6 linked regions of the Xenopus tropicalis genome follow. The protein of the gene in region 6 purifies or fractionates together with the protein of the main gene of each other region. This does not show direct contact. Links are inferred from orthologs where the notes say so. Each region holds a gene or a part of one and is shown on either strand. Other genes may lie near its edges. The genes, in order: g3bp1, larp1, paip1, ddx6, mkrn1 and pabpc4.

Region 1 (5,355 bases), on a different chromosome or scaffold from region 6:
CACTGTGGCTGTAATTTTAACATGAAGTTTCTTGAGAAAAGCCCTTCTAAAAATGATAGTTTAAGTGAAGGCACACCTATAGAGATGTATGTAAATAAAATATGGATAATCTCTATTAACCACTTAGCCACAGGGCTGCACAGCAAGCATTTCCTTCAGTATTGTTATAGCTGCAGTGCTTGAGATACTGCTGCCCGGCTCATACACCTCTCCAACCGCTCCTCCTCTGCCATGCCGCTCTGCCAATCCCTGCACTGGCTTCCCCTACCATCCAGGATAAAATTCAAGCTATTGACCCTCACATTTAAAGCAGTCCATAACTCTGCCCCACCCTACATCTCTGAACTCATCTCTAGGTACCATCCAACCCGCTTGTTACGCTCCTCTACTGACCTGCTCCTCAACTCCTCTCTCATTCCCTCCTCACACGCTCGCATTCAAGACTTTGCAAGGGCTGCCCCCCTTCTCTGGAATTCGCTCCCACAAACTGTCAGACTTTCTCCCAATCTCTCTGCCTTCAAGAAATCTCTAAAAACACATTTATTTAGAGAGGCTTACCCTAATCTAGTTTAGCAATACCCTGTGCCCCACCTCTCACAACTCTGGTCATGCCCATTACCACACCTTGTGTCTCAACCCTTTCTCCTTGTAGATTGTAAGCTCTTTTGGGCAGGGCCCTCTTCACCTCTTGTATCGGTTATTGATTGCTTTATATGTTACTCTGTATGTCCAATGTATGTAACCCACTTATTGTACAGCGCTGCGGAATATGTTGGCGCTTTATAAATAAATGTTAATGTAATGTAATGTAATAAGGTGTTTATATTGTCTGGGTTTACTCGTGTTATGATTAGTAATTGCACAGTGCAGACCTTCATGACGGCTGCTGCAGAACAGCTTAGGACAATAACATGTCAAGATGTGCTTCACCAATATTCCACCAATAAAGTTTCATTATAATAATCTGGTACAGCACAATTAAATGGTATTGAGTATTTCCTGCACAAATTACAGCAGAAACGTGAGACCCACTGGCAGTTAGGCAGGTTCATGAGTGGCAGCAAATTGATCGCATACAGCTCTTGAAAGACATAGTCATAAGACTATTAACCCTTCTGGGATCTAAGGAGCTGTCAAATCAGATGTCAATTTAGATCTGGAACAGGGATGTCTAAATTGCAACAGGTCTTGATACTAAAATTCCAAAACCTTTAAATGTGTCTTTAGAGCCACAAGAATATATCTCCCTTAGCAATGGGCTGCTTTAAAGAGCCTTCCCCTCACTTAACCTAGGCGAATGTCCATCCCGCACCATGATATTGCAGTAGCCCTCACGAGAGAGACTGGGCTAAAAGACTGCTTGTTTATTTCTTCAGCTTATTTGTGACCTTGGTAGTGTAGACTTTACAGTGCTGAACAATTTCATTATAGGCAGGCATTCAAACCTTTGGAGTAACCATGCTGAAAGGGAACATTTAAAAAAAAAAAAAAAAAATAATAATAATAATAATAATAAAGAAAAGGTCTATTAATTGACCCACACAAACATACTGAAGTATAGAAAGAATATTGTTGAAGCACATCTTGACAAGTTATTGTCCTAAGCTGTTGTCCTAAATCTTTTGGTGCACTGCAAAGTATTTTTGCAAAATTATTTACAACCTGCACCCAACCCTAACACATAGTGCCCCAACTATTTTTAGATTTTACACTTTTATTAGAGGGGTAAGGGGAAGTTGAAGAACTAGTGGGGCTTGGAGCAGTTGGGTTGGCGGCAAATTTGGCTCAATACTCACAAATTGTTGGCACGAATCTGTGGTTTTCAGGGAAGCCCACATATCACTACTGCAGAAAAAAAAAAAACCTCCCACATATGAATCACAATAGAGCCACTCCCCTGTAATGGGGTCCTCCTTGAGGTGTACAGGTTGGCAAAGTTGGGCAAATGAGCCTCTGTGGGGAACTGAAACAGTATAAAGAGGTTAAATTCTCCTGTAACAAATCAGATCTTTGGGTAGCACTTCTACCGTGCCTGGTTCTAAGTAAGGCAATATCGCCAAGGATTTTTGCCAATGATATTGCCATGTCATACAGGCAGGTTAACTGGGTCCTGATATAACTGCCCCCACTGTGTAAACTGATATAGTACTTATATTGTAAGCAGCAGTAGGGCAGAAGCTAATGGGAATTGTGTATAATCTCTGTATATCTATGCGTAAATGTGCTGGCACAATAGATACTTAACTTTTAGCCATACAATATTATTCTACAACCTGTGGGCATATGTACACATGTATTGCCACTGCACGGTTCCATTGCTTTAGGCTGACTGCACAAAAGATCAGAAACACCAGAAGTGAAGAGGAGCTTAATGTTCAATCATACCCAATAAGGAGACCCCCAAAACATGGCATACATACTCATTCAAATGGTCAGAATCTGGTCAAAATCAGCCATGTTGGACAACCAAATCTGGGCATGAATGGCTTAAGTCTGTATGTTGACTAAGTTGGAACAAAAACATTAACAAATTCTTCTAAGGGTACACTTTCCCACCTCTGAAATTCTGGCACAGAGAAAAAAATAAATATATATATTTATCAGTAGTCAAGATGGTGACCAATAACAATCCCTGGGGTCCTTCCTCAAAGAAGCCTAACAAAAGAACATACTTAATGTATGGCCCTCTGGAAGCCCCCTAGGCTTCAAACGGAGTCTGACAGTTTTCAGAATGGCTGACCTTGCCATCGGAACCGAAGTTAAAGATAAAGTGAGGGCCCTTGCAATGCAGTAAGTCTGGAGCTCCCATTGAGGGAACATAACTGCATAGAAGTTGGATTAAAAGATAAGACTACAACACAGCCTGAAAGTGGTGGAAGCTGGTAGTAAATCCCTTACTTACTGACACTAACATGTTATGGAATAGGTACTGCATACTTTAATCTACATAGTCCCTAAAGTGCCCCTGTGATGCCGAGTGCCCCTCTCTGCCGACAGTAAAACGGTCCTTTCTGCCATAAAACAAAAGCACACGGGTTCGAATTCATCTTCTCCGTCGCTTCCTTGAGGAGCACACCGCGTCTCTATACCAACCCAATAAAGGCCGCGTCCACCCGAGGCAAAGCGCGCGTTACGTCAAGGAAAGACATGAGGTAATGCAGCGACAAAGGCACCGTGTATCAAAAATATACGCAACGCTCTGATAGAGTAACCTAAGGATGTTTAAGGTCTTCGTACCTGTGAAAGGTCCGGCTTGGTGCAGGCTTGGCGCTCCGTAGAAGCCTAGATAAATTTACACCTCACACAGCGTCGGCACAAGCAGCGGCGTGCTCAGCTGCCGGCTACATATACTAACGTCGCAGCCAAACTTGCTGTTCCTAACTACCCAATCAAGGCGCCCAGCGCAAGCACTTCGGAATCCTATTGGGCTAATAGGCGGAAAATCACTCAGATCGACAACACATAAAACCAATAAGCTAGAGGGAAACCCGCCTATGGTTACAGCCAGCAGCCAAACGCAAAGCAGAATACAGCAGTAAAGACAGCCCTTCTGCTCCTACAAGTTAGCCGAGCGCTTATTGGTCGGAAGATTTCTCAGACACAATGCTAGTGTGGTTGTTGAAGCATGAGGGACCCTGTAACCTTGAGCAGGAAACCCTGAGTGAATATAAAGAGAGGCGGGAAAAATGTGACGCTGGCCAATCCCCGAGCAGATATTGCCTTAATAGACAGGACAGAAACGGGGATTTTCTTAAAGATAAATGTCTACATTAACACAAGGTGGCAGAAAAAAGCACATAATCCTGCCAACAAATATAAAAACAGATAATACAAAATAGTAATCTTAATAGTTAGTCAAATGGAAAAAACAATGGAATTCAGAAAATATTTCATACCTACGTAGGGATCTCCAAAATTGGGCCTCTAGGATGATTCCCCTAGTACAGGCTCCCAAGGGTGGTTTGGGAGGTTAAGAGTTAACAGGGAGTAGCCCTGCAGTTTTAGTTAGCAGCCACTGGGTAGCGCATTAGGTATATAAGGGAATGCAGCCATGTGCTGCTAGGTCTTTCTGCCTGGGACCCCCTCTGGACAGAGGTTAATGACAGGCTAGTGTTTAGATAGTAGATCTGGAGATAATAGCTCACTCTAGGGGGCTGATTTACTAAGACACGAATTCCGACCGAATTGGAAGAATTCCGATTGGAAAACGAACATTTTGCGACTTTTTCGTATTTTTTGCGATTTTTTTCGGCGCCTTTACGACTTTTCGGAAATTATCGCGACTTTTTCGTTACCAATACGATTTGCGCGAAAAAACGTGAGTTTTTCGTAGCCATTCCGAAAGTTGCGATTTTTTCGTAGCGTTAAAGCTTGCGCGAAAAGTTGCGCTTTTTTCGTAGCGGTAAAACTTAAAAGGCGCGACGTTTCGCGCAAGTTTTAACACTACGAAAAAATCGCAACTTTTTGCGCAAGTTTTAACGCTACGAAAAAATCGCATCTTTCGGAATGGCTACGAAAAACTCGTGTTTTTTCGCAACAATCGTATTGGTAACGGAAAAGTCGCGATAATTTTCCGAAAAAATCGCAATCGGACGCATTCGGCCCGTTCGTGGGTTAGTAAATGTGCCCCTAGGAGTGGGAGACAGGTTATTTAGTACGGGTAGTCATCACCCCTACAGGAGTGGGATAGCACTCATAGCTGGAGTCAGGTAAGGAGATTACCTAATCCAGTGGGTGCTTGGGCGTGAGGTCTCAGAGGGGTGTCCGCTTGGCGGGAGTACCAGGGAGAGCCCTAGAGAGGGCCTTCTGGCGTGAGTACCAGAGGGAACCCCAAAGAAGGATCATCTGGCGGGAGTACCGCGAGTAACCCCAGGGAGAGAGGGTCTCCAAAGGGAAGTGTGTGTAACCTGACATATAAGTGTGCTCCTGTATAATCTACTTGTCTGCAAGTAATAAACTACATTCTACTGGTTCAACATCATACCAGTGTCCTGGTCTCTTCGTACAAAGACGATCCTCACTGCCTGGTAAGCAGCTACCCCAAAGGGAAGGGGAAAGGTACCGGGAGTTGCAGGGAGTCCCTGACCAGGGAATACAGTACAGCATTAAGTTCTCAGGAGGGGAGTTACAGTTCAATCTGTCCCTAACCTGGGTGGAGGCACGCCATTAAGTAAAGTAACATCTGTTCCCCCAAAGTAAGTGGGGCTCAGGATCCCTGTTAGCGCCATAAGATCTCAGCAGGTAGCAGCACTGTCACTAAAGTGGGCTACACCTAATTTCTCCATTTACCCATAATATAAATATTTTACACTCCATAAAAGCTCTAGCAAAGAGGTACCGGTAAAATAAAAATAA
Region 2 (4,925 bases), on a different chromosome or scaffold from region 6:
GGTCACTAACCTGTTTCCTTCTGGAATCCTTGCCTGGGGACGAATTCAGGACAGTTTATGAGTTGATTGAAGTCGGTCTGGGAAGCATCTGAAAGGGAGGGACCTGGAAGTGGCCACATATCTGGCTGATCTTTCCTGCGAATTTTCTCATCAATAATCTCTACCACTTTGCTATCCTTTAGTGCCTGCAGAACACAAAGGCATCATTTACACACACATTTATCTAAATATATCTATAAACATGCACACAATCAAAGAATGGGTACATTCATCTTATTTTATGACAAATACTGGTAACATATGGACATGCAGTTCTGCACAAGAAGCCTTCATCATCAACATATATGTGCTCATTAACATGAGCCACAGATGCTCTGAAGAGCAACAGTGGTACGGTCTGAGTATATATATTTTTTTTTATTTAAACAAAATTCAACACAGTTCACTTTACCTTGACTATCAGTTCAATATCTGTGGTAAGAGCCTGTACTCGATGGAAACTGGCAATCAAACCAACGGGCAAAAAACCTTCAGAATCCATCTTCCGGCGCAAAAAGAAGTCCCTCTGCAGGTTGTCCACACTAAAATAGTATTCTCTGCAAGAAAAAGCACAAAAGTAAAAAAAACAATCTAATTTACAAACGAAAGGTGTTAAACCACAAAAAGTGCATTGTACCCATAGCAACTAATCACAACTTAGTTTTCATTTTCTCAGTTTGCTAAGTAGCAGCTATTAGCAAGTGCACTTTTATAACTTAGCACCTACGTTTATGACAAACCCAACGTCACCTAAGGAAGCATATCAGAATATCTTGGCCCAATCCACCCTTTCTATGCCAGTCTAATACATGGAGGCAACGTACATCTGTCGTTTGATATAGTCTTTTAGAAGTTCCTGGTCCACACTGTACAGCTCTGAACTGCTCATGTTGTCGTAGTAATAAGTGATATTACTGAGAAACTTTGGCCCACGTGTTACATCTGAACCATCAAATTTCCTGTACCCGTACGGATAGTCAAAGTGAGCTGTAAATTGAAAGGAGAAAAAAAAAAAGTGTATGATCTGGACTGTTCTATATATAATTTTCATTATGGCGGTATAGGGGGAAACAATTTTTTAGAAAATGTTATAATATACAACTTTCACTTACAACGGGTGCCTCCTCGACCACGTCCTCTTCCTCTCCCTCGGCCACGTCCTCTGCCCCTAAAGCCACCCCTGATAGCTCCCTCACTTTTCACGCTGGACGTATCATCGAAGTCCTGCCAATCGCGCTCAGACTTGTTATCAGGATACATTGCTGTATTGGGGGGTAGAGACAAACACTTAACACACCAACAAAGGCTCTGGAGGCCATCCCCATGGTTAAAAAAAAAAAAAAAAAAAGCCTGGCTCTAAAGGGTAAAAATTCCCACACTGCATATTCATCTTCTGACCATTCGCATCTATATGCATATGGAGATGGTGGCAAAGTTTGTGGAATGGATAAGGTGGCCATACACAAGCAGATTTAAGCTGCCTATTCAAGTCCTTTAGACTGATTCAGCAGAGTATTTGCCCGAGTTTGGGGCCCCCAATGGTCCTCCCTGATCAATACCTGGGAGAAAATCAGGCAGGTTTGATTTGCCCATCAAATTGGGGACGGCATCAGCTCACTGATATGGTCCTTGGTCCAATGGGTGCTATGCCCATTGTTGTAATTCAATTGTTTGGCCCTAGAGACAATCAAATTAGTTCAATACTGCCCACCTTAGGTGGGGATATAGGGAAAAAAATCTGCTCGTTTAGCGTGTATGTCCACAGAGTGGCACCATAAAACCATGCCATTGCAGATATTCCTGTATTTACTGAGCCCACTTTAACAGAAAACTTGAAGGACTGGTTAATATCCTAAAGTGCATTTTTCTTCTTACAAATAATTCCACTTGAATGGCTTCAGTCAGCTGCTTATTAATATACATATATTTAGGTTTCTAGTGGTAATAGCACATTTAAATGCACACAAAAATATATTTATTTTTGGGTGTTACTGGTCCTTTGAGGACACATGAACAGGTATAAAGTGTGCTTCAGCTCAAATAACACATAACAGCCAACAAGAAATTAGCCTTTGCTGGTTTGTTGAAAACTTGGCACCTATTATCCTAGTCCCAATTTGCCTTAGATAGAAAACTGTTCTAGTTAAACATACTTTTAGGGTCACTGCGGTTCAGCGGGTGCCGTTGCTGCTCATTTTGCCGGTTGTTCCTGGATGCATTTTTCTCTCTTGGTCCATCAGGCTTCATCTCGATTTGTAGGGGAACCCACTTGTGTTTGTTTCCTGCGGGAAACGCTTCAGCATTACAAATTAAATCCGATTCATTTCAATCCAGTTTTCCAGAAAAGCCCCCAGATTTCCCTCTAATACCCTAAATTCACTAAAGTTGCTAACATGCAAACTTAACATTCACAATAATGTTTTTTATACAAGAATAAGAAACACAAAATACAATTGCTCAGCATCCACACACACAAAAAAAATGAATATTCTGTGAACACTGCTGGACAAATAGGGTATATTTTGCCTTCATAACACAAGGCATTGTGATTGCAATGGGTAGCAGGATGGACTGCGGTTTTGGATTTGCTGTTGTGTTACATTCAAGGGCACCAATCATAGAAAAAGTTTCCCCCACTGGAGGTGTGGGCTTATAGAGCCTGCAGTCTGGTCGGAGAAAACAATACTCCCAAGCAAGCACATTAGTGACATAGGAGTGGTGATGTGCCCCGCACACTCATTATGCGAATGAGCACCAACATAGCCACCTATACTCTAAAGGTCTCTCCCAGGAAATGTGGAGTAGCGCTCAGAGTTTGTTTTCTCTTTCTAAAGTGCAGGCTCAATTACCACCACCTCTGGTGAAGAAAATAATTTTTTGATGTGCCCTTTAAAGGAATAGTAATATAAAAAATGAAATATAATGCACTATTGCCCTGCACTGGTAAACATTGTGTGTTTGCTACAGTAACACTAATATAGTTTATATAAATAAAGCTGCTGTGTAGCCTTGGGGGCAGCCATTCATGCGGATCTTAACTTGTATGGGCACCTTTAAGCTTTCCACACTCATTTTTCCTATGAGAAGCATGGTAAGGGAAGGTCACCCACTGTCTAAAATTTGATACAGTAGTTACTGTAGCAACCTTATAGCCCCTACTAAGCATGATCACTAATATAGGTTTAGCTTTCATTAGAGAGGTGCAGTGCGATGAGATATAATATACCGCTAACTACTATGCTGTGAAAGGGTAGAGCATACACAACATTCTTTCAATTCATGTCTGCATTTGCAGATATGGTTAACAGATGCTTAAATAAGCAGTAACACCAAAAAAGTAGTATCAATGAATCAGCATTCAAACCCCTTTCACGTTTTTCCTGTTACTAGTTATTTGCTTGCCTAGCTTGAGGAATTCTTTATGGCTATTTGAACAGCACCATCTAGTGGTTGAAGAATGGTAATACTGTGCATATACTGGTAATACTGCTCAAAAAATAAAAACTCTTAAGGCAAGCACAGTATGGTTATAGAATTAAAATATGCCAGGAGAAAAATTGAATGAAATCAAGACACTGTTTAACAACAGTTTTTCAACCTACTGAGCCTTTGCCCAGTCAAAAAATCTGGCATTATGGGAAGGAGGCATAGAACAGTTAATGGTGGTGCTGGAAGGGGCGTGCCACCGAAACGTTACATGGTTTGCTACTATTAAAAATCAGCAGGGTTTATCCCGCTTAAATAAGTCCTGTTGTGCCGGTATTTTTGTGCTATTTGGATCGTGGTGGAGAGTGCCGACGTCTCTCTAAATACTGTGCACCAGGCGGAACAGAGTGTGCTGGTGAGTATGGATTGGGTGCTTGAAGGAGGCAATTGTTTAGATCTGACTAACACCTTTAAGGTTTCTTCACTGACACTGAACCTTTTTGGATTAAAAAAAAACAAAAAACTGTATTGTTAAAGGAAATCTCACTGTACCTTTCTTTTTGTTAGCTGATCTCTGGCCATCGTCATCGCCATTCTTCTCCTCACTGGACTCATCTGATTTCACCCTCTGGTTTTCCTTCCCGTCTGCACTTTCCTCTTTCATATCCTTCTTGCCCAGGGACTTGCGGCCTGGCTGGAGTTTGGTAGGCGGCTAGAAGTAAAAACAAAAAAGACAAAGGCTTTAATAAGATCAGAATGCCTGCTTAGTGTTTGACACAGTCTTACTTTGCTCCTATTAAATTGATGTTGCCCAGTGTATCAACCAACCTTTGCTTACTAGTCAGGTGGGAAGGGCAGTCAGTGGCAGTTACCTTTTTATTGAAGCTTGGCCCTGTTAAGCAAAGGGCATTCTGATGCCATGTGGCTTAAAGCTGGCATGGTGTTCTTACAATCCTAAATGATATCTAAGTATAATGGATACAATTGGTTCACCGATAGGGCAAGTTTGAAAATCTGCTAAAGCTCCATAGACATCTCTGACGTGAAGCATCAGCAGATACAACAGGGCCACATCTCCACTTTACTTTCTGATAGGCAATCCATTTGGCTTATTTAGTCCAACTATGGCCCCCTTAACATTCACAATATTTTCCCAGCCAATGAAAGAAGTGAGGTTGTACTGAGCAGAGCAGTTTTGTGGCCACTGGCCAGCTAGCCAATCTATCTTGAAAGGTATAAAGCACACAAGACTTCATACAAAAGCACCCCCACTTTATAGCACCAGCTTGCGAACAGTAAAGCTGAATATCTCTCACTGGACAACCTGACACAAGGGATCACCTCCTCAGCCACTAAACCTGCAATATGAACTCACTATTATTGCCCGATCCAATCTAAGCCTGAACTATACTACCCTCCAGGGGCGACCCAATAAGAAAGGGGCCAACAGAGTTTTCTGA
Region 3 (5,525 bases), on a different chromosome or scaffold from region 6:
AAGACAGGCAAACAACCAAAGTGCTGTACTATATCACTCTGTGCATGGCAATCTCAATTATTGTTATTATTCATAGCCAACATGGATCACTACTCTATCACCAAGTTACTTTTTACATTGAGGGAAAAACTAGAATCTCCAATTTTACATTTTCAGGGGCTAAAAAAAACCATGTAAATTATGAGAAAATATCAAATCAGGGAAACGTATTAACTGCATTTTTTTCCAAATGCTCAAAGATAATAAGGGAAGGAATAGGGTTCTTTCTAAAATGCAATATATGCCAGTATTTCTTAACTTGTTGTTTAGGGGAACCAAATTATGTTGGGAGAATAGTCTGGCAACCCAAACCCCTATTAATTACTATTTTTTATTGCAGGAGGGATCACAGTGGCTGAATCAAATTTGCATGGAAAGCCATGTTTGGGTCAAAACCTAGAGGGTAATAATCCTTTCTACATGCAGAAGGCCCCAGGGCCATATCTAGTTAGTATCCGAAACAGCTTTATACTCTGTGAATGTTATTTTCTAAAAAATAAAACTGGATTTTTTTTTTGGGGTGCAAAATTCAGGAAAAGTACTTGCTGAATTACTGCCCTGTGTAGATCATGGGAATAATCCACTATAAAGAGTTGAATGGCATTTTAATAAAAAGGAGGGGTAAATCTATGCAACGATTCTGCCACTTGTGACAATACAGCCCAATTGGGCCGAGCATCCGTATGGAAGTTCTGGTTCATATAAATCAACATGCAGATGATGCTCCCTGTGCAGAAACCCATAACCTTGCAATTTACTGAGCACTTAGCAAATAAAATGAATTAAATACCTTCCCCATTATTCTAATGTGAGTTTATAGATCTTACAACATCTTATCTGCATTCCAGACCAACGTGAAACTAACATATTTGCAATATACGCTGCTATTATATTTAAATTAGTCTTCAATACTCTTGTGCAATGATATGTATAAAAAAATTATATAATATATTAAATGTAACAACATGTACATCCCAAAGAATTCCAGAAATGTAAGGAGGACTCTCTTATTGCTAAACATTAGGCACAGCTTCCCCTTTGCAAGGCATATGACTGATTTCCCAATAGCCAGACACTGAATCTGAGCACAGTCTATTCCAGGAAGCAGCAGAACACTTATCAAACCAAAAGGTTATCCAGGGGAAACTGCTGGAAGCCATACATACAGCTAGTGTATGAACTAGGCAGGGCATGGGCAACCAGTAGCCATCTAGATGTTGTTACCAATAACCCACTCATTCCCCAAGCCTTATCCAGATGGGTGGAGCTAAAGGAATGACTGGGCTGCAGGGGGTTCTTCTAAGCTCAATGTATGTCAGGTTCTGCCCCAATAAGTCCCATGACAATGTAACACTTTACTTGGCGCAAAAATCCAAGCCTGACTGGTGACCTGGAAGGTGCCAGCCTTGATGGCCAGTGACAGTGTGCCAGGTAGAACAGATAGAGTGATGGGAAGACATTGGGTAGAACAGGTTAGACAATGACAGATGAAGCATATCGCACACAGGGCATTAACAGAAATGGGAACTACCCCTCTAACCCTTGGGCATCAGACATACAATGGTTAGTGGCGGGATAGAGAAGCAGACATGCTGGGCATTGACTGGTCAGATTACAGCATGCTGTGGGCAGTGACAAGATGGTGGGCTGCAACACTTTACCGTAAGGGGCATCTATGTGTGGGGAGGAGAGACTGAACAGAGATGTAGGTAGGGTGATACACAATACTGGCAGATGGAGGGTTGGCAAATACATTTGGAAGTTAAAATGCCAGGTAATGCCAAGAGAACAGTGACAGGAAGACCGCAGGGGGTACAGGATTGTTCTTCTTGGTCAATTACTAATTTAGGCCAGAAAATCACTTACTCACAAACACCCAAATGACAGTTGTGTAAATGCCACCCCCACAACTAAGTCTGGAGCAATGCAGTCTCCCCCATTTTGGTTCCATCATTATGAAGCCGAGGTTATTGTTATTAATGCCAAAAGCCTTACTAATGCTATACGTTTTTCCACAGTTTTTTTTGGAGACGTTCTGTATTCTGAATTCTTAAAGGGAAAGTAAACTTAAAACAGGGGGGTGGGGTTCTGTCAGACTTCATACCCAGACAGGCACTCACCAAGCACACATGGGGTACAATGATGGGCTCACTCCTGCCAGTCTCCTCTCTGTACTGCACAATGTGCCCTGCTGCAGCTGCCCCAGGGGAGGGTACTGCGCAATGTGCCCTGCTGCAACTGCCCCAGGGGAGGGTACTGCGCAATGTGCCCTGCTGCAACTGCCCCAGGGGAGGGTACTGCGCAATGTGCCCTGCTGCAACTGCCCCAGGGGAGGGTACTGCGCAATGTGCCCTGCTGCAACTGCCCCAGGGGAGGGTACTGCGCAATGTGCCCTGCTGCAACTGCCCCAGGGGAGGGTACTGCGCAATGTGCCCTGCTGCAACTGCCCCAGGGGAGGGTACTGCGCAATGTGCCCTGCTGCAACTGCCCCAGGGGAGGGTACTGCGCAATGTGCCCTGCTGCAACTGCCCCAGGGGAGGGTACTGCGCAATGTGCCCTGCTGCAACTGCCCCAGGGGAGGGTACTGCGCAATGTGCCCTGCTGCAACTGCCCCAGGGGAGGGTACTGCGCAACGTGCCCTGCTGCAACTGCCCCAGGGGAGGGTACTGCGCAACGTGCCCTGCTGCAACTGCCCCAGGGGAGGGTACTGCGCAACGTGCCCTGCTGCAACTGCCCCAGGGGAGGGTACTGCGCAATGTGCCCTGCTGCAACTGCCCCAGGGGAGGGTACTGCGCAATGTGCCCTGCTGCAACTGCCCCAGGGGAGGGTACTGCGCAACGTGCCCTGCTGCAACTGCCCCAGGGGAGGGTACTGCGCAATGTGCCCTGCTGCAACTGCCCCAGGGGAGGGTACCGCGCAATGTGCCCTGCTGCAACTGCCCCAGGGGAGGGTACTGCGCAATGTGCCCTGCTGCAACTGCCCCAGGGGAGGGTGATGACAGGGAAGATGGCAGCTACAGACACTAACCCCTGCCAATGCACATTTCTCAAGACAAAGAGTTTCGCCCCCATCATTTTGAGGTTTAGTTTTCCTTCTATGGAAACAAAAACTTTGTTTCTGCAGTTTTCTTTACTCCCATTGGTGCAATTCCCCTCCCCGAATTACAGGAAAGCTCCTCCAGCTGCATTCCAGCTACTGATGAACTACAACTCCCAGGGTCCCTGACAGAGAATTTAGAGAGAAAATGACTTGAGGGGAATTACCTGCTCCGGCATCTCCTCCTCCAGGCGGCCCAGTACGAGGCGGCCGTAGGGGCTCTTGCTGCTGGCTAGCCGCGGCTTTGCCTCTCCCAGGCTCGTCCCCAGCGCCCAAGGCCCCACTGAAGCCCGGTGCTCTCCCACCCTCTGCTGTTTCTACTCCGCGCCCACGGCCTCTCCCTGTCCCGCCTGCCAACCCCCGCCCTCTGCCCCTCCCGGCCCCTGGGGCCCGCTCAAAACCATCGGACATAACGCTGTAGGAAACTCGGTGCTCCAGCGGGAACAGCCCCCGGGGCCCCGAACGATCACAATTCTAGCCCGCCCCCTGTCACAGTCATGCAGTAAGTTATTGGAGAAAACAAATAAATCAGCGCCACCTGTTGCCCGGAGGACCCAAAAATGAAAGTAAACAGAGCGCTTCTTCCTGCCGTAACAACGTAAAATACACACGGCGCCACCTAGCGTTAGGAGGGCGTCTATTCCTTCAACAAAGAGACAAGTGTATTTCAGCGGCAGCTATTGGACCCGCCGGAATTATTATTATTAGACGAAACCGCATATGAGGAGACCGGCAAACAGCGGTCACAGGACTATTTGCAGTTAAATACTTATTGGGATTTATGAAGAAATCCACTTTTATTCTCCCCCTTTGCGCTGCCTTCTTACTTGTAGGCAGCCTTTTTGCCATAACCCCCTCTTACAGGCCTCTTCTCTATACCCAACTTGCCACCCCCACAACCCACTCCCATCTTTACTCCAACACTATCTCTCTATTTAGCCTGGCAGGGGCCATACACGGCGAGGTCGCCAAGCGAGCAGATATTCTCCCGATATCCCAACCTACAGAGGGCCATATCTGGCTCGTTTGGTTATTTGACCCTGGGGCCAAACTATCGAATTAGAACAGCGGGCATAGGCACCATCGGTTGGGGGACCGCATCAACAAGCCAATGTGGTCCCCAATCCAATGGAAAAATCAAACCTGCCCGATTTCAGACCAGGTCCATTGTTCCTGCCCATACACGGGCAGATAAGCTGCCGAATCTTTCTAAAGGTGGCCACACACGTGGCAATCTGCGATCTATCGTGCGACCATCAGACCCGCCACTAACCTTCAGGGCTGAAACAGCAGATAAGGAGGTAGAAACAATAGGATTTCTACCTCCTTCTGCCGATTCAGCCATGACGGCAGATTTTGCTCAGGTGCCTTCTATGGCGCCCAATCAAAATCTTTTGACCTGGCCGATCGGCGAGTTGACCGATATCAGCAGCCTCCTGCGATACCGGTCGACTCTCCCACTTGCCATACACGCACCGAATATCGTACGAAACAAGGTTTCGTACGATATTATCGGTGCGTGTATGGCCAGCTTAAAGGGCTGATATCGGGAGCTAGAATCGGCTGGTGTCTGGCCAATGGTCACATTGCAGTTCCTTTATTTTCCTTTTATATACATGCTATTATGCATGTGTGCATGACTTGCATCTCTAGCAATATCTCTAGGCATGTGGCTACTAGCAGCCATGCAGCGCGCCTCTCACTGTGGCTACTAGTAGCCATGCAGCCCTGCCTCTCACTGTGGCTACTAGCAGCCATGCCTCTCACTGTGGCTACTAGCAGCCATGCAGCCCTGCCTCTCACTGTGGCTACTAGCAGCCATGCGGGGCGCCTCTCACTGTGGCTACTAGCAGCCATGTGGGGCGCCTCTCACTGGGGCTACTAGCAGCCATGCAGCATGTGATATGGAAACTATAGGTGGACAGGTCAGAATTTCAGTTTCTTATAACAAGCTCCAATGCTTAATTGCTATTTGGAGGCAAGAATTCACTTGTTTAATCGCTAATTATCCGCAGCTCAGGATTTTTTCGCTCTCTGCCTCCCATAGGCACTTTTCTTCCTGATACATTGTAGTTTGGGTTAGCGGGCTCCCTATAGTTTTTGTTAGCAGACTCCCAATAGTTTGGGTTAGCGGGCTCCCTATAGTTTGGGTTAGCGGGCTCCCTATAGTTTGGGTTAGCGGGCTCCCTATAGTTTGGGTTAGCGGGCTCCCTATAGTTTGGGTTAGCGGGCTCCCTATAGTTTGGGTTAGCGGGCTCCCTATAGTTTGGGTTAGCGGGCTCCCAATAGTTTGGGTTAGCGGGCTCCCAATAGTTTGGGTTAGCGGGCTCCCAATAGTTTGGGTTAGCGGGCTCCCAATAGTTTGGGTTAGCGGGCTCCCAATAGTTTGG
Region 4 (4,925 bases), on a different chromosome or scaffold from region 6:
TAAATCCCCAAAAAAATGAAGTTGTTTACCTATAGAACATGTTTACTAGTCAGTTGCACAGAGATCTGTTCTCAGAGTCCAGGCCGAATTGCAAGATGGGAGTTACTGTTTCCCATAGGTAACGGACTTTTTCATAAACAAATGAACAGTGACTAAGCTTGCCAAAGTCCTGCCCTTCATTTTTGCACTGTCTTTCTGAAGAAATCTGCGCTCTGAATTCCAGTGGTAGTTTTGTTTTACTATGAACTCTGCTGCTAGAAAGGATGAAACCTATTCAGTAGTACATATAAACAATTCTGCCTTATAACATGGGGTTGCTGCTGGAATTCAAGTGCAGATTTCTTTAGAGAGAACAGGTGGCTAATCCGAATATATGTCTTAAAGCACCCAAGCCACAAGATAAGTATTTAATTGACTTTAAAGTAAGAGATGGAAGATGTAGCGAAGGTATGCACTAAATAAAAACAAAGCAGAGGCATGTCTAGAACAAAAAACCTACTTAGGAGGAAGGCATGTCTTCTGATCAAACATGGCCAATAAGAGCAGATCTGTTTGCTGTTCTAATATTTGTATAACTGAGCTCTAAAATCTGATGGCCATTATGTATACATGTGCTTACCAGCAACCTGCCTCTTGGCCTCCTCAACTTTGTTTGTAATGTACAATCAACTCAAAAAATATTGAAGCCATGATTGCAGAGATCAAAGTTTTTTAGTTTTGAAAATCTGGTTTACGCATGTGGAGTTAGGAGTCCCCAAGCCCTCCACGTGCAGTAATCTTAATCTATGCCTGGATTGAGATATTTGGGTTACATGACCCTACCAAATGTCATCGCTGACTCTCCTATCTTTGCCCATTCCAGTGGAAACATTTAGATGTTGCCATAGTGACGTCGCCAAGCAAGCAGATCTTGGTGTATGGGGCCACCTTAAGAAAATCAAGGCTTGCTTGAGACTCCTCCAGTTACATGGGAGTAAGAAAAAACAGGTTACCTAAAAGCATTTCTAGCAGTAAAATCCATGGCTGTTAAACTTCTTGCAGTCAGGGTTGGACTGGGGGGTGAAGGGCCCACCGGTGCTCCCACCCCAGGGGCCCCCCTAACCCTCTCGCAGGGCCCCCCCACCCGACATCATCCCCCAAACGCATAATTTTAACACGGCAGGGGGAGCACTGGCAAGGGTCGGGTCTGGGCTGCCAGGGCCCACCGGGATTTTTCCCGGTGGCCCAGTCTGGCCCTGCTTGCAGTAGAAACTTCTACCTTCTACTTTGTATGTCTGTATACTTTTGAGTAGACTTAACTTTATGGGGACTTTAATATATTGACTCTTTATAATGCTGTTACATTGAAGTCTGCAGGAAAGCTCAGGTGTAGCACAGTCTGAGCCAGTGGCCACCACCTGAATTTTAAACCACCGCTACATTAGGTGCTGGTCAGATCCCAGCTACAAATCTTGATTCAAGCAGTTTTTTGGCAATTTAAGAATTTTGTTCCTATTTTTCTATGCTACATGCTAATTCCATAACAATTTTTATTATAGACTTCCCATTTGCAAAAACCCTATGAGATTAACCTGATGGAGGAATTAACGCTGAAGGGAGTAACGCAATATTATGCCTATGTGACTGAACGGCAGAAAGTTCACTGCCTCAACACACTGTTCTCTAGGGTAAGGAATTAATGTTATCGTAATGTTTTCTATAATGCCGTAAAGCTTTTCATTTTATGAAGTTTTTTTTAATTTCATGTGTCTTTAGTATTAGTGGTAATGTGTATAAGGTGAAAATGCAGGATTTGGTGAACTAAATTTTATAGCACAGCCCAGCACACCGATATACATGAAAAAGGAGGACACTCTGTAAAAATCTTTGCCCTTTACCTGTGTGCTGATCACCAGTGCTGTGAAGTATTGCAGCCCCACGGCTTTCTAAAGATTTGTGCAGGCTGTAGTCTGTGCAGTTGGAGAGAAGGGTAAACAAGTGCAGGATTTAGTGGGGTTTTTTTTTTTTTATTGAACTATACAGATTTTTTTTTTTTCTTTTAAAGTATATTGAAGATAGGTTTGTTTTTCAGCAGTAATGTAAAACATAAAATGTAAAACCTGTAAAAATCTCATTAAGATCACTGTACAACAATAGAAAAAGCTTCTATGTTGGCAACATTAGACCAGGCTTTTATAGTATGTCTACACTAGGGGTGCGTGTTCATTTCTATAAATTGCTAATTGTACATGTTCCTTTTTAGCTCCAAATCAACCAGTCAATAATTTTCTGCAACTCCTCCCAACGGGTTGAACTCCTGGCTAAGAAAATATCTCAGTTGGGCTATTCGTGTTTCTATATCCATGCAAAGATGAGACAAGTATGTAAATTTAAATGCCTTTTAAAAAATGTTTTGACCTGCAGTGAATAAGTATTTGGCTGTATTACTTGTATATGTATGCTCAATGCAGTTCTTTATCTCAATATAAGCACTGTGAAAAGTTCCTAGGATAAGTACATGCATGTGAGTGCTGTTTAGGGTACAGACAAAATTTATGGCCCATGGATAAACATGGGCCAGCAAATTTTACAGACCTGCCTTGCTGGATGAGCCTGGCACTTGCAACATTGTTTAAAAAGGAGTTCAGAAAATGCTGCTTTCTATAGCAATTACATTTACAAATAACTTTTAAAGCACTGATATTTATTAATAAATTGATATTGGAAAGTTGCCTAGAATGTTTTTATTAGGTAAATATTTTTTGGTTTGATATGCCCTTTAACCCTTTTACTGCCAGCCATTTTGGTCAAAGCGGAACTTGTATTGCCAGACAGTTTTTGAACATTTTGCACTGTTTCACTTTAGGGGCCTTTCCTCGGGGGGACTTTTAGTTTACCAAGGAAAACAATATATCGTTTTTTTCAGAACAACCTAAGCTTTCAAAATATGGTAGAATTTTTGTGTAATTCCAATTCTGTAACAAGATATAGGCTTCTAAATGTCTAAAAATGCAAAAAAAATCAAATTTTCCATAATATAATCACACATACTAGAAACAAAAATTATTTTATGCACGAATATACAACTGATTTGGAAAGTCCCATGTCTCCTGAACATGCCAATACCAAATATATATAGTTTTATGGAGATTTCTCACTTGTATAGGTCAAAAACTCCCAGCAGTACACTACCAAATTCCCAAAGCACTGCTCCAAAAAAACTGCATACTTTGGATTTCAAGGCCAAAATTCCACTAACAGAAGGTTTATCCCAGAAAATTGTACATTTTTGGAAAGAACAGATTCTGGGGAATACAGAATAGGCACAACTGTCTGTCTACTCCAAACTATCAAGTCGCAATGCTTTCCTAAAGTTATTGGTTTTTATCAAAATTTGTGATTTTTTTTAAAAATCGCTTCAAAGCTTCTAGTCTATAGTATCTTATCTCCTACAGGTCATAAAGTAACCAAATAAAACACCCTAAATATTAATGCCTGGGGTCCACTGAACAGTTTGATGCCCAATATGTATAGGTTTACCTAAGTATGTGGCATGTAGGGGCCCCAATGTGAACATGCCCCCATATGTACTGTCATTTCTGTCATTTCAGCTTCTGCAAAATCAACACATTTACATCATTATATGTGGGATAAAGCTAGTAAAAAGTATGCTCACCCCAGAAAGTCATATATTTTTGGAAAGTACACATTCCCCCGAATCTAAAATGGGTACCTATGTCTTTCTACTCCAAAGTACCAAGCCGCACAGCTTTTCTAAAGTTAGCAATTTTGATGACATTTCCAAAAATCCCCTCAAAGCTTCCACTTTGAAGCATCTTATCTCCCACATAGCATTAGGTACCAAGATAAAACACCCTGAATTTGAACGCCAGGGGTCCACTGAACAGTTTGATGCCCAATATGTATAGGTTTACCTAAGTATGTGGCATGTAGGGGCCCCAATGGGAACATACCCCCATATGATCTATCATTTCAGCTCCTGCAAAATCAACACATTTACATCCTTTATGTGGGATAATGCTACAAAAAAAGTACATTCACCCCAGAAAGCCATATATTTTTGGAAAATACACATCCCCCCGAATCTATAATGGGTAAATATTTCTTATTGCTACAAAGTACCAAGCTGTAAAGCTTTCCTAAGTTTGCAGATTTATATGACATTTTCGAAAATCGCATAAAAATGTTGCAATTTGCCGCATTTATCTCTCACAATTTCTTGATAAAGATCAGATAAAGACAAATCACCCCAAAAAGGAACACCAGAGGTCTACTGAACAGTTTGATGCCCAATATGCATAGATATACCAAAGTCTGCGGTATGTACTGAACCCAAAATGAAAATAGCGCATAAGGATTTCTCGCCTGCCAGCTCAGCTTTTGCACACAGAGCCCCCTGTCAGTGTATTATGTGCCAAAACTTCCCCTAACCATACAGTGACCCCCACAAAACCATATATTTTTGGAAAGTACACATTCTGACAAATCCAACAAGGGTAAAGAGTCCTTTCTACACCAAAGTACCAATCTGCAGAGCTTTCCTAAAGTTATTGGTTTTTATGACATTTCAGAAAATCGCCTAAAAATGTTGCAATTTGTCGCATTTATCTCACACAATTTCTTGCGTACAAAGGCAAGTCACCCCAAATAGGAACACCAGAGGCCTACTGAACAGTTTGATGCCCAATATGCATAGATATACCAAAGTCTGCGGTATGTACTGAACCCAAAATGAAAATAGCACATAAGGATTTCTCGCCTGCCAGCTCAGCTTTTGCACACAGAGCCCCCTGTCAGTGTATTATGTGCAGTAACCCCCCCCTAACTATACAGTGACCCCCAGAAAACCATATATTTTTGGAAAGTACACATTCTGATGAATTCAAAATAGGTAAAGTTATTTTTGTACATAAAAGTTACACCTG
Region 5 (5,464 bases), on a different chromosome or scaffold from region 6:
TTTTATGGTATCTCTCTGTACAGGCTATGGGCAAACTTAGGGGGCTGTTCCTGCTGAATTGTGCTTAGTACAGGGGAATCCCTATGTGCCATAGTTTTATGGTATCTCTCTGTACAGGCTATGAGCAAACTTAGGGAGCTGTTCCTGCTGAATTGTGCTTAGTACAGGGGAATCCCTATGTGCCATAGTTTTATGGTATCTCTCTGTACAGGCTATGGGCAAACTTAGGGGGCTGTTCCTGCTGAATTGTGCTTAGTACAGGGGAATCCCTATGTGCCATAGTTTTATGGTATCTCTCTGTACAGGCTATGAGCAAACTTAGGGGGCTGTTCCTGCTGAATTGTGCTTAGTACAGGGGAATCCCTATGTGCCATAGTTTTATGGTATCTCTCTGTACAGGCTATGAGCAAACTTAGGGGGCTGTTTCTGCTGAATTGTGCTTAGTACAGGGGAATCCCTATGTGCCATAGTTTTATGGTATCTCTCTGTACAGGCTATGAGCAAACTTAGGGGGCTGTTCCTGCTGAATTGTGCTTAGTACAGGGGAATCCCTATGTGCCATAGTTTTATGGTATCTCTCTGTACAGGCTATGAGCAAACTTAGGGGGCTGTTTCTGCTGAATTGTGCTTAGTACAGGGGAATCCCTATGTGCCATAGTTTTATGGTATCTCTCTGTACAGGCTATGAGCAAACTTAGGGGGCTGTTCCTGCTGAATTGTGCTTAGTACAGGGGAATCCCTATGTGCCATAGTTTTATGGTATCTCTCTGTACAGGCTATGAGCAAACTTAGGGGGCTGTTTCTGCTGAATTGTGCTTAGTACAGGGGAATCCCTATGTGCCATAGTTTTATGGTATCTCTCTGTACAGGCTATGAGCAAACGTAGGGGGCTGTTACTGCTGAATTGTGCTTAGTACAGGGGAATCCCTATGTGCCATAGTTTTATGGTATCTCTCTGTACAGGCTATGGGCAAACTTAGGGGGCTGTTCCTGCTGAATTGTGCTTAGTACAGGGGAATCCCTATGTGCCATAGTTTTATGGTATCTCTCTGTACAGGCTATGGGCAAACTTAGGGGGCTGTTCCTGCTGAATTGTGCTTAGTACAGGGGAATCCCTATGTGCCATAGTTTTATGGTATCTCTCTGTACAGGCTATGAGCAAACTTAGGGGGCTGTTCCTGCTGAATTGTGCTTAGTACAGGGGAATCCCTATGTGCCATAGTTTTATGGTATCTCTCTGTACAGGCTATGAGCAAACTTAGGGGGCTGTTCCTGCTGAATTGTGCTTAGTACAGGGGAATCCCTATGTGCCATAGTTTTATGGTATCTCTCTGTACAGGCTATGGGCAAACTTAGGGGGCTGTTACTGCTGAATTGTACTTAGTACAGGGGAATCCCTATGTGCCATAGTTTTATGGTTTCATCACTAAATTCTGCTAACACTGCTGGTTCTGAGCTGTAATTATAAACAGACACAAATTTCACAAAAAGGAACCGATTCAGAATGGGATATTTCTCTAGGCAGACAATATGGCAGCTCCCGTACAGACACAATTGTACATGACAGGACTGTGAGGAGCCGCTAATGGAACCCAGTTACTATGACATCACGCTGCACTGAAGTAACCGCACTGTCAGTTCCCACAGAAATCCCAGGTTTAAAGAGGGCGGAGCCAGTAAATGTATTCCGCTATTGGCTAAAACGCCAATCAATTACTCAGAAGGGGGTTGGTCGAACTGAATCCACGCCCCCTCCCTTCTTTGGTTACCGGAAGTTTTGGAATCGGGCGCCTCAGCGCGCCGGAAGCATGTGACCGCGGAAGTTCCGGTGTTGTTTATAAGGGGGGGATAAACAGGAATGGCGGAGGCAGCGGCGGCTCCTGCACCTCTCACATCAGCAGCCGCGGCAGGGAAGGCCCCGCTGCCCGCTTTCCCCGATAATCCCCCCGTGGGTGGCTGGACTCGGCACGTCGCCTGCAGGTACTTAGCATCCGGGGGGGCGGGGGGGCTAGACGCACAGTGTTACCGGGGGGGGCTGTCAGGGGGGGGGGCTGTCAGGGGGGGGGGGCTGTCAGGGGGGGGGGGGGCTAGACGCACAGTGTTACCGGGGGGGCTGTCAGGGGAGGGGGGGCTAGACGCACAGTGTTACCGGGGGGGCTGTCAGGGGAGGGGGGGCTAGACGCACAGTGTTACCGGGGGGGCTGTCAGGGGAGGGGGGGCTAGACGCACAGTGTTACCGGGGGGCTGTCAGGGGAGGGGGGGCTGTCAGGGGAGGGGGGGCTAGACGCACCAGTGTTACCGGGGGCTGTCAGGGGAGGGGGGGCTAGACGCACAGTGTTACCGGGGGGCTGTCAGGGGAGGGGGGGCTAGACGCACAGTGTTACCGGGGGGCTGTCAGGGGAGGGGGGCTAGACGCACAGTGTTACCGGGGGGCTGTCAGGGGAGGGGGGGCTGTCAGGGGAGGGGGGGCTAGACGCACAGTGTTGCCGGGGGAGGGAGAGCAGCTCCATTGAGGGATGTGGGGAATAAACCTTCCGTCTGCTGAAACAGACAATGCTGATCATTTACTGATAACTGTCTGTGTGTTTAGCAGAGGGGATTCCCACTATTGTCTATGGCAGGGGATTATCAGGCGTTTAGTAGCTGCTACTAAGTAGCATGGGACTGGCGGGGCGCGGGTTCCGTAGGGCTGGGACTGGCGGGGAATGGGTTCCGTAGGGCTGGGACTGGCGGGGAATGGGTTCCGTAGGGCTGGGACTGGCGGGGAATGGGTTCCGTAGGGCTGGGACTGGCGGGGAATGGGTTCCGTAGGGCTGGGACTGGCGGGGCACGGGTTCCGTAGGGCTGGGACTGGCGGGGCACGGGTTCCGTAGGGCTGGGACTGGCGGGGCACGGGTTCCGTAGGGCTGGGACTGGCGGGGCACGGGTTCCGTAGGGCTGGGACTGGCGGGGCACGGGTTCCGTAGGGCTGGGACTGGCAGGAATGGGTTCCGTAGGGCTGGGACTGGCGGTGCACGGGTTCCGTAGGGCTGGGACTGGCGGTGCGTGGGTTCCGTAGGGCTGGGACTAGCGGGCATGGGTTCCATGAGGGTGGGACTGGCGGGGCACGGGTTCCGTAGGGCTGGGACTAGCGGGCATGGGTTCCATGAGGGTGGGACTGGCGGGGCACGGGTTCCGTAGGGCTGGGACTGGCGGGGCACGGGTTCCGTAGGGCTGGGACTGGCGGGGCACGGGTTCCGTAGGGCTGGGACTGGCGGGGCACGGGTTCCGTAGGGCTGGGACTGGCGGGGCACGGGTTCCGTAGGGCTGGGACTGGCAGGAATGGGTTCCGTAGGGCTGGGACTGGCGGTGCACGGGTTCCGTAGGGCTGGGACTGGCGGTGCGTGGGTTCCGTAGGGCTGGGACTAGCGGGCATGGGTTCCATGAGGGTGGGACTGGCGGGGCACGGGTTCCGTAGGGCTGGGACTAGCGGGCATGGGTTCCATGAGGGTGGGACTGGCGGGGCACGGGTTCCGTAGGGCTGGGACTGGCGGGCATGGGTTCCATGAGGGTGGGACTGGCGGGGCACGGGTTCCGTAGGGCTGGGACTGGCGGGCATGGGTTCCATGAGGGTGGGACTGGCGGGGCACGGGTTCCGTAGGGCTGGGACTGGCGGGGCACGGGTTCCGTAGGGCTGGGACTAGCGGGCATGGGTTCCGTGAGGGTGGGACTGGCATTCCAGGTGCATTAGGGCTGGGGGAAATTGATAAAGGTACTTTAGTTCAGGGGAATTGTGGGACAGGGTTAGCAGGGCGGGGCCAATATATTTAGGGGGGTATTTACTAGAGAGAGATCAGATGAGAGGGAAGCATTGGGAGCCCGTTAGTTCATGCAGTGAGAGACTGTTGGGGCAGGACTGTGAGTAAGTTTGCTGGAGGCACAGCCCTGTCCTTCTCAGTTAAAGGGTCGGCCAGATCAACCTTTTAGGGATTAAAGGGGGGTGTGAGGGTGCCGGCTCTGTCACTGTATAACGGAGAGTGATCCCTCTGTCTGATTGGTTGCTGGCTTGTCTGTCACGGTGTTTATGATGCAGGTACTTCATGCACGGCGTGTGTAAGGAAGGAAGTAATTGTCGTTATTCCCACGATCTCACCAGCAGCCGATCGACCATGATTTGCCGATATTTCCAGCGAGGCTGCTGCGCGTATGGAGACCGCTGCAGGTAAGTGAGCGCCACTGAGAGCTGTCTATTCCCCCAGTGTGAGCGCTCTCGGCTCATCTCTCTCTCCCTCGTTGCAAGGTACGAACATACCAAGCCACTTAAGGAAGATCTGATTGGAAATACCTCTACTGCGCGGAGCTGGCCGAGTGAGTCCCCCGCGGAACCGAGCAGCAATATAAACAGTAAGGCAGCTGAATTGGCAGCTAGTGAGCTGGCAGCTGGGGGTCCACAAGCTGAAGACTGGGTCAATGCCGTGGAGTTTGTTCCGGGGCAACTCTACAGTGGACGTGGTAATTGCTTGGGCGGGGAGCACCATACCAGCCAGGCAACCCCACAAGTTCCTTTGTTTTTACTTTCACTTTTATTTTTATATACTTTTTAATCACCCCCAGCTCATTATCATCTGAACTGTTCCCCCCCCCCCCCCAGGCTGCACATTTGGTTTGGCCAAGGCTTAAAGGGGTGTTTTACCTTTCTTCTTTCAAATGGGGGTCACTGACTCCGGCAGCCAAATACCTATTGCTCTGTGAGGCTCCAGTTTTATTGTTATTGTTACTTCTCTTTCTATTCAGACCATCTCCTATTCATATACAGGTATGGGATCCCTTATCTGGAAACCTGTTATCCAGAAAGTTCCGAATTACGGAAAAGCCGTTGCCCATAGACTCCATTTTTATCAAATAATCTAGAATTTTAAAACTGATTTTCTTTTATCTCTGTAATAATAAAACAGTACCTGTACTTGATCCCAACTAAGATATAATTACCCCTTATTGGGGCAGAACAGCCCTATTGGGTTTATTTAATGGTTAAATGATTCCCTTTTCTCTGTAATAATAAAACAGTACCTGTACTTGATCCCAACTAAGATATAATTACCCCTTATTGGGGCAGAACAGTCCTATTGGGTTTATTTAATGGTTAAATGATTCCCTTTTCTCTGTAATAATAAAACAGTACCTGTACTTGATCCCAACTAAGATATAATTACCCCTTATTGGGGCAGAACAGCCCTATTGGGTTTATTTCATGGTTAAATGATTCCCTTTTCTCTGTAATAATAAAACAGTACCTGTACTTGATCCCAACTAAGATATAATTACCCCTTATTGGGGCAGAACAGCCCTATTGGGTTTATTTAATGGTTAAATGATTCCCTTTTCTCTGTAATAATAAAACAGTACCTGTACTTGATCCCAACTAAGATATAATTACCCCTTATTGGGGCAGAACAGCCCTATTGGGTTTATTTCATGGTTAAAT
Region 6 (4,925 bases):
ATTGTTGGGATCAAGTACAAGGTACTTATTATTACAAAGAAAAAGGAAACCATTTTTAAAAATGTGAATTATTTCATTAAAATTGTCTATGGGAGATGGCCTTTCTGTAATTCGGAACTTTCTGGATAATAGGTTTCCGGATAAGGGGTCTGATACCTGTAGTAATAAGTCAAATCAATTGGCTTGCTGTGCTTTACTCAATGATGTTTCACCAGTCATCCTACTGGCTTTCTCAATTCAGAATGACTTGTGCTAGGATCTTTCTGGAATAAATACCCTGGACTATTGCTCCAATCAGCATAATCTGTTTATCATAACCAGCATGGGGTTAGGGATTTCATGAAGGGAAGGTGTTAATTGTATTAGCATGATTGGAGCTATGAGGGGTTAATAAACCTTCCAGGGAGAGGGGTGGGTGAAAAAACAGCATTATATGTGGCAGACAATAGATGCTGCACTCCCACCTCTATTTAAGCTTGAGATAGCAACTGTTTCACCCCAAAGACCTAATCCCAAAGCATAAGAAGAGTAACACTGTACATGCAGTGCAGTGACGAGTGCTCTGACTTGTATGTGGGACAAACCAAACAACAGTTACACCGGTTATGGTGCAGCACAGAAGAGCCAGCTCCTCTAGTCAGGTACCTACATCTAAAGGAAAAAGGACACATGTTTGAAGACATATAACAACTCAGGTAGGGAATGGCAATCTGTGGGTTCTGTCGGAGGGGCTGCTATAAGAAGCCTTAGACAGTCACTACTTAGTGGTCTTGTGGGGGGCTGTTTTAGTCTCTGTGTAGTTAAAATGCAAGGTCCTCTTATGAATCCCAGTCAGGCCTGTGAACACTATTTCCCCTCTACTTATAGAACAGCACAAGAGTTGTATAGAAAATTCCACTAAAAATTTCCAGTGTATGCATACATGAAAGCAGTGCATACCATATTTTACACAAAATAAACTTAAGCCTCTTGCAGAATGCACCCTAATATTTAAAGTAAATGTATTGCTTTCTGCAAATTTGTATTAGACAGCTACACAATCTGTTAACCATCAGATCTAGGGGGAATATCCCTGCATACTGACTAGTGTGGATACTTACAGGTCAGCCTGGTTCAAGAGGTAGCAGTGACAATTCCCACTTTCTGTGCAGCATCTTTCTTGGCTTGATGAGCCTGAAGCACAGCTACTGCCTCTTCCACCTGTAAATGAAACACTGAACATTAGATATGCAGTATACACTACATAGATTAATAAAAATGTACACTTAAAGCTAATTGTAGTGCACCACGCATTTTAATTACTACCCCTGCAACACACCTTAACACTCAGCTGACATTTCAGTAACCACCAGGTTTTAGCTTCACTATGGGGGAATGTGCCTCTATAGTTTTCACCTTGTCAAATGGATTCTATAGCACCATGGCACTAAATTAGAATGGAACAATCTCCCTACATCTAATGTTAAGATTTTCCCATAGTTTGACAGAAGAACAATATGAACTGCTGTCAGTCAATATAATTAATTTCCAATTTACAGCATGTTAATTGCACCACCAAACACAGCCAGCTTTTTATACTGTAAATAAGCCAATAAGTTTTTATTGTAAATACGCCTCAGGATTTAAACACAAATGCATTTACAGTGGATATAAAAAGTCAGGTTCGTGTGCTGTACAAAAATGAGACAAAGATAAATCATTTCAGAACTTTTTCCACCTCCTGAACATGAGGAGGAACTTCATCTTTCAGCATGACAACGACCCAAAGCATACATCCAAATCAACAAAGGAATGGTTTCAACTGAAGATTTAAGTTTCGGAATGGCCCAGCCAGAGCCCAGACCTGAATCTGATTGAAAATCTGTGGGGTGATCTGAAGAGGGCTGTGCACAGGAGATGCCCTCGCAATCTGACAGATTTGGAGTGTTTCTGCAAAGAAGAGTGGGCAAATTTTGCAAAGTCAAAATGTGCCATGCTGATAGACTCATACCCAAAAAGTGCTGTAATAAAATCAAAAGGTGCTTCAACAAAGTATTAGTTCAAGGGTGTGCACACTTATGCAACCACATTATTTTAGTTTTTTGGTTTTCTTCCCTCCGCCTAAAAGATTTCAGTTTGTTTTTCAATTGAGTGGTACAGTTTATAGGTCACATTAAAGGTGGAAAAAGTTCTGAAATGATTTATCTTTGTCTCATTTTTGTACAGCACAGGAACCTGACATTTTATCAGGGGTGTGTAGACTTTTTATATTCACTGTATATCATCATAAACATTTCTATAAGTTTGCAAAAATATTTAGCAAAGGATGAAGAGAAAATGCATCATAAATTCTTTAAAAATATGGCAACCCCAATTTATTTTATTGGCTTTTGGAATATATGTAGAGAATCTTGTTGTCAACCCTTTTCAAATACTGTTAGTCAACTGGCAGCAGTTGTCAGAAAACACTTTCTATAGAGCACCTTTATAAGGTATATTTAAAATAAAATATATCTGCAAATTAAGGGACAAGTAAAGGCTAATTTACAGGGGGCGGGGTAGAGTTGCTGAGTTTGATGATCTTTCCAAGAAAGCACTGCCACCTTACATTTATTTCCAGGGATCCCTTATAGGCTTTATTAATATTATAGTCCATTCCTCACTTTCTACTTGATGTGGATATATAGATGACAGGATGGCACACCAATTATTTATGTTATTATTATTTTTAATACTTATGGATGCTCACTGACGGGGGCTAACTGAAAGTCCCCAGCTGCACTACTGAAATAGCAAAATTCAGGGCACAGTTGTTGCTAGGAGATGACATCACTTCCGGATATAACGTCAGAACCAGGAAATGCGAAGTAGAGCTGAGCGGTGAAGACAGAAAGCTGTATTTGGCATGCTTGTTACAACTTTGTATTTTGTGCTCACTGATTGCCTGCATTTTTTTCAATGCATGAGCCCCTGATAAAGACCCAAATGTTGAGTCAAAACATGTTGGGTTTTGTTAAATAAGCTTTGGGGGTTTTTTTTCGCATATTGGTGTGCCCTGAATTTTGCTATTTTTCCTTGATGTGAATGGACATGAATAAAGGATTTCATCTGTAATTGCTCCTAATACCATTGAATGTAAAGTTACATGGAGAGGTTTTAGACAGACCTCTGCACTTTTCATTCTTTAGTATTAAGACTGGCGACAGGTGGACAGAAAAGTTTTGACCACCAGAGTGCAGTGGCATTCAGTGGTGAATTATTCAGGAGCCTTCTTCAGGAACATCCACATACTATAAGACAGTGAACAAATAATAGAAAAACTGATGCCATTGTATAGTATGTAACATCATCAACTGGTGGTATCAGGGTGATGACGTCACATACTTCACTTTGGCGCCAATTTTTGTTTTCTATGTTCATTGTCTTACACTATGTGGATGTTCCTGATGGAGCTGAAATAATAAATATAAATTAATTTAATAAATATTATTGTTTTGTGTACACAAGAGCAGAGTGTGCTGGACTTTATATTACTACATATTATATACACACAATACACGTTAAATATATATATATGTGCGCCTAATATAGAAGATACATCCCTGGTGAAGGTAAAAATGCCCTTTGAGCTATTGCCATACGGCAATTACCATTTTGTGCATGAAATCTGTATTGGTAAAAATGGAATGCGGTAAACAGATAATTTATTACAAAAATTAACAAAAAAATGATAAAAACCTGAAATCGGAGTAACTACTACAGCCAGAGCTACATACCTTAGAGCGCAGAGACTCTGGGGACTCCAACATATGTAACAGTTCTGAGTTGTCTATTTCCAGCAGCATTCCTGTAATTTTACCCGCCAATGACGGATGCATGGCTTGGATAAGAGGAAATAAACGTTCTCCTGTGGGCAGAATGGAAAATGAAATCTCATCTGTTTCTCTGACTCCCACAAGTGAAACCACTTCCTTAAACAAAACAAACGTAAGACTCACCCAACATCTGCTTCTGTTCCTGGGGTGGAGCAGAAGCCAACATGGAGGCCGTGAGAGGCTCTTGTCCCTGCACATGGACAGCTGGCTGAGGGGTCTTTGGGGAAAGAAACAAAAATATAACATCTGCACTGCTTAAAAGCTGACTGTTTCTTAATTTTTATATTGGTTCTATATATATATATATATATTTTTTTTTTAAAGAGTCAAAACGTTTTCTTTTAATTTTCAGCCTTGTGTATAGATGGATTATCAAGTGTTTGAATATGCTCATTAGTGAACCGTTATGTAGCTATAACAAAAGTCTATATGTGACAGAAGTAATAGTTACCAGAAACACTAGTTTTATTTGACTTACTTACTATTGTAATTGAGCAAAAGTAATTAAATAAAGTAATGGTCAGTAAAGTTTGGTTAGGGGAAGTAGCCGCAAAGCATCTGTACAGGGTAATAGTGTTGAGAGCTGATCTGCAGGAAAATGCCTACTATTGCTACTACCACAGTGCAACAGTAGATATCAACAAATCAAATGGTTACTATCACTTGCAGACTTATAAAAACAAACTGATTTTCGGTTGCTACTGGAAACTGCACTTGTGCAATATACTGTAGCTGTAACTGTGTTCTGAATCAGCCCAAGTTAGAGCCCCTATACATACATGTTCTTTTGAATGACTGCTTCATTTTCAGTATATGTATAGCAGCCTGCTGATCCAGACAGATAACTGTTGTCTGGGAATCTTGATCTGCCAATGCATCATATATTATAAGCTACCTTAGCTTTTAAGCACTGCTATGACGACTTAAAGGAAAAAGAAAGGTAAAGTGCCAAAATGTTAGGCACCCCCAAGTGACTTTAACCGCCTACCTTTTACCCCGGGCTGGTGCCGCTGTCAGGAGAAAACAGCACCAGCCCGGGGTAGCTGTCGGCACTTCCTCCTTCCGGCTTCG

The links.
Region 1: the proteins of pabpc4 (region 6) and g3bp1 purify together in Homo sapiens (affinity purification with mass spectrometry; 4 studies listed by BioGRID and IntAct, with this or other methods). This does not show direct contact. The link is inferred for Xenopus tropicalis from reciprocal best matches to the Homo sapiens genes PABPC4 and G3BP1.
Region 2: the proteins of pabpc4 (region 6) and larp1 purify together in Homo sapiens (affinity purification with mass spectrometry; 3 studies listed by BioGRID and IntAct, with this or other methods). This does not show direct contact. The link is inferred for Xenopus tropicalis from reciprocal best matches to the Homo sapiens genes PABPC4 and LARP1.
Region 3: the proteins of pabpc4 (region 6) and paip1 purify together in Homo sapiens (co-immunoprecipitation; 3 studies listed by BioGRID and IntAct, with this or other methods). This does not show direct contact. The link is inferred for Xenopus tropicalis from reciprocal best matches to the Homo sapiens genes PABPC4 and PAIP1.
Region 4: the proteins of pabpc4 (region 6) and ddx6 purify together in Homo sapiens (affinity purification with mass spectrometry; 3 studies listed by BioGRID and IntAct, with this or other methods). This does not show direct contact. The link is inferred for Xenopus tropicalis from reciprocal best matches to the Homo sapiens genes PABPC4 and DDX6.
Region 5: the proteins of pabpc4 (region 6) and mkrn1 purify together in Homo sapiens (affinity purification with mass spectrometry; 3 studies listed by BioGRID and IntAct, with this or other methods). This does not show direct contact. The link is inferred for Xenopus tropicalis from reciprocal best matches to the Homo sapiens genes PABPC4 and MKRN1.

What each region holds. Positions count from the first base shown.
Region 1 is NC_030679.2:16,834,180-16,839,534, forward strand, and holds the start of g3bp1 (ras GTPase-activating protein-binding protein 1), read right to left. Parts: upstream 3,310-5,355; 5' UTR 3,238-3,309; intron 1-3,237. UniProt on the Homo sapiens protein: Protein involved in various processes, such as stress granule formation and innate immunity. Plays an essential role in stress granule formation.
Region 2 is NC_030679.2:19,796,462-19,801,386, reverse strand, and holds part of larp1 (la-related protein 1), read right to left. Parts: intron 4,178-4,925; coding exon 4,018-4,177; intron 2,334-4,017; coding exon of another isoform or gene 2,322-2,333; coding exon 2,193-2,321; intron 1,302-2,192; coding exon 1,152-1,301; intron 1,027-1,151; coding exon 864-1,026; intron 597-863; coding exon 452-596; intron 186-451; coding exon 11-185; intron 1-10. UniProt on the Homo sapiens protein: RNA-binding protein that regulates the translation of specific target mRNA species downstream of the mTORC1 complex, in function of growth signals and nutrient availability.
Region 3 is NC_030677.2:194,888,154-194,893,678, reverse strand, and holds the start of paip1 (polyadenylate-binding protein-interacting protein 1), read right to left. Parts: upstream 3,612-5,525; 5' UTR 3,547-3,611; coding exon 3,303-3,546; intron 1-3,302. UniProt on the Homo sapiens protein: Acts as a coactivator in the regulation of translation initiation of poly(A)-containing mRNAs. Its stimulatory activity on translation is mediated via its action on PABPC1. Competes with PAIP2 for binding to PABPC1.
Region 4 is NC_030683.2:80,838,872-80,843,796, reverse strand, and holds part of ddx6 (probable ATP-dependent RNA helicase ddx6), read left to right. Parts: intron 1-1,538; coding exon 1,539-1,667; intron 1,668-2,242; coding exon 2,243-2,359; intron 2,360-4,925.
Region 5 is NC_030679.2:5,323,032-5,328,495, reverse strand, and holds the start of mkrn1 (E3 ubiquitin-protein ligase makorin-1), read left to right. Parts: upstream 1-1,774; 5' UTR 1,775-1,858; coding exon 1,859-1,980; intron 1,981-4,072; coding exon 4,073-4,201; intron 4,202-4,279; coding exon 4,280-4,491; intron 4,492-5,464. UniProt on the Homo sapiens protein: E3 ubiquitin ligase catalyzing the covalent attachment of ubiquitin moieties onto substrate proteins. These substrates include FILIP1, p53/TP53, CDKN1A and TERT.
Region 6 is NC_030678.2:91,041,188-91,046,112, reverse strand, and holds part of pabpc4 (polyadenylate-binding protein 4), read right to left. Parts: intron 4,072-4,925; coding exon 3,978-4,071; intron 3,887-3,977; coding exon 3,756-3,886; intron 1,201-3,755; coding exon 1,114-1,200; 3' UTR 1,101-1,113; intron 1-1,100.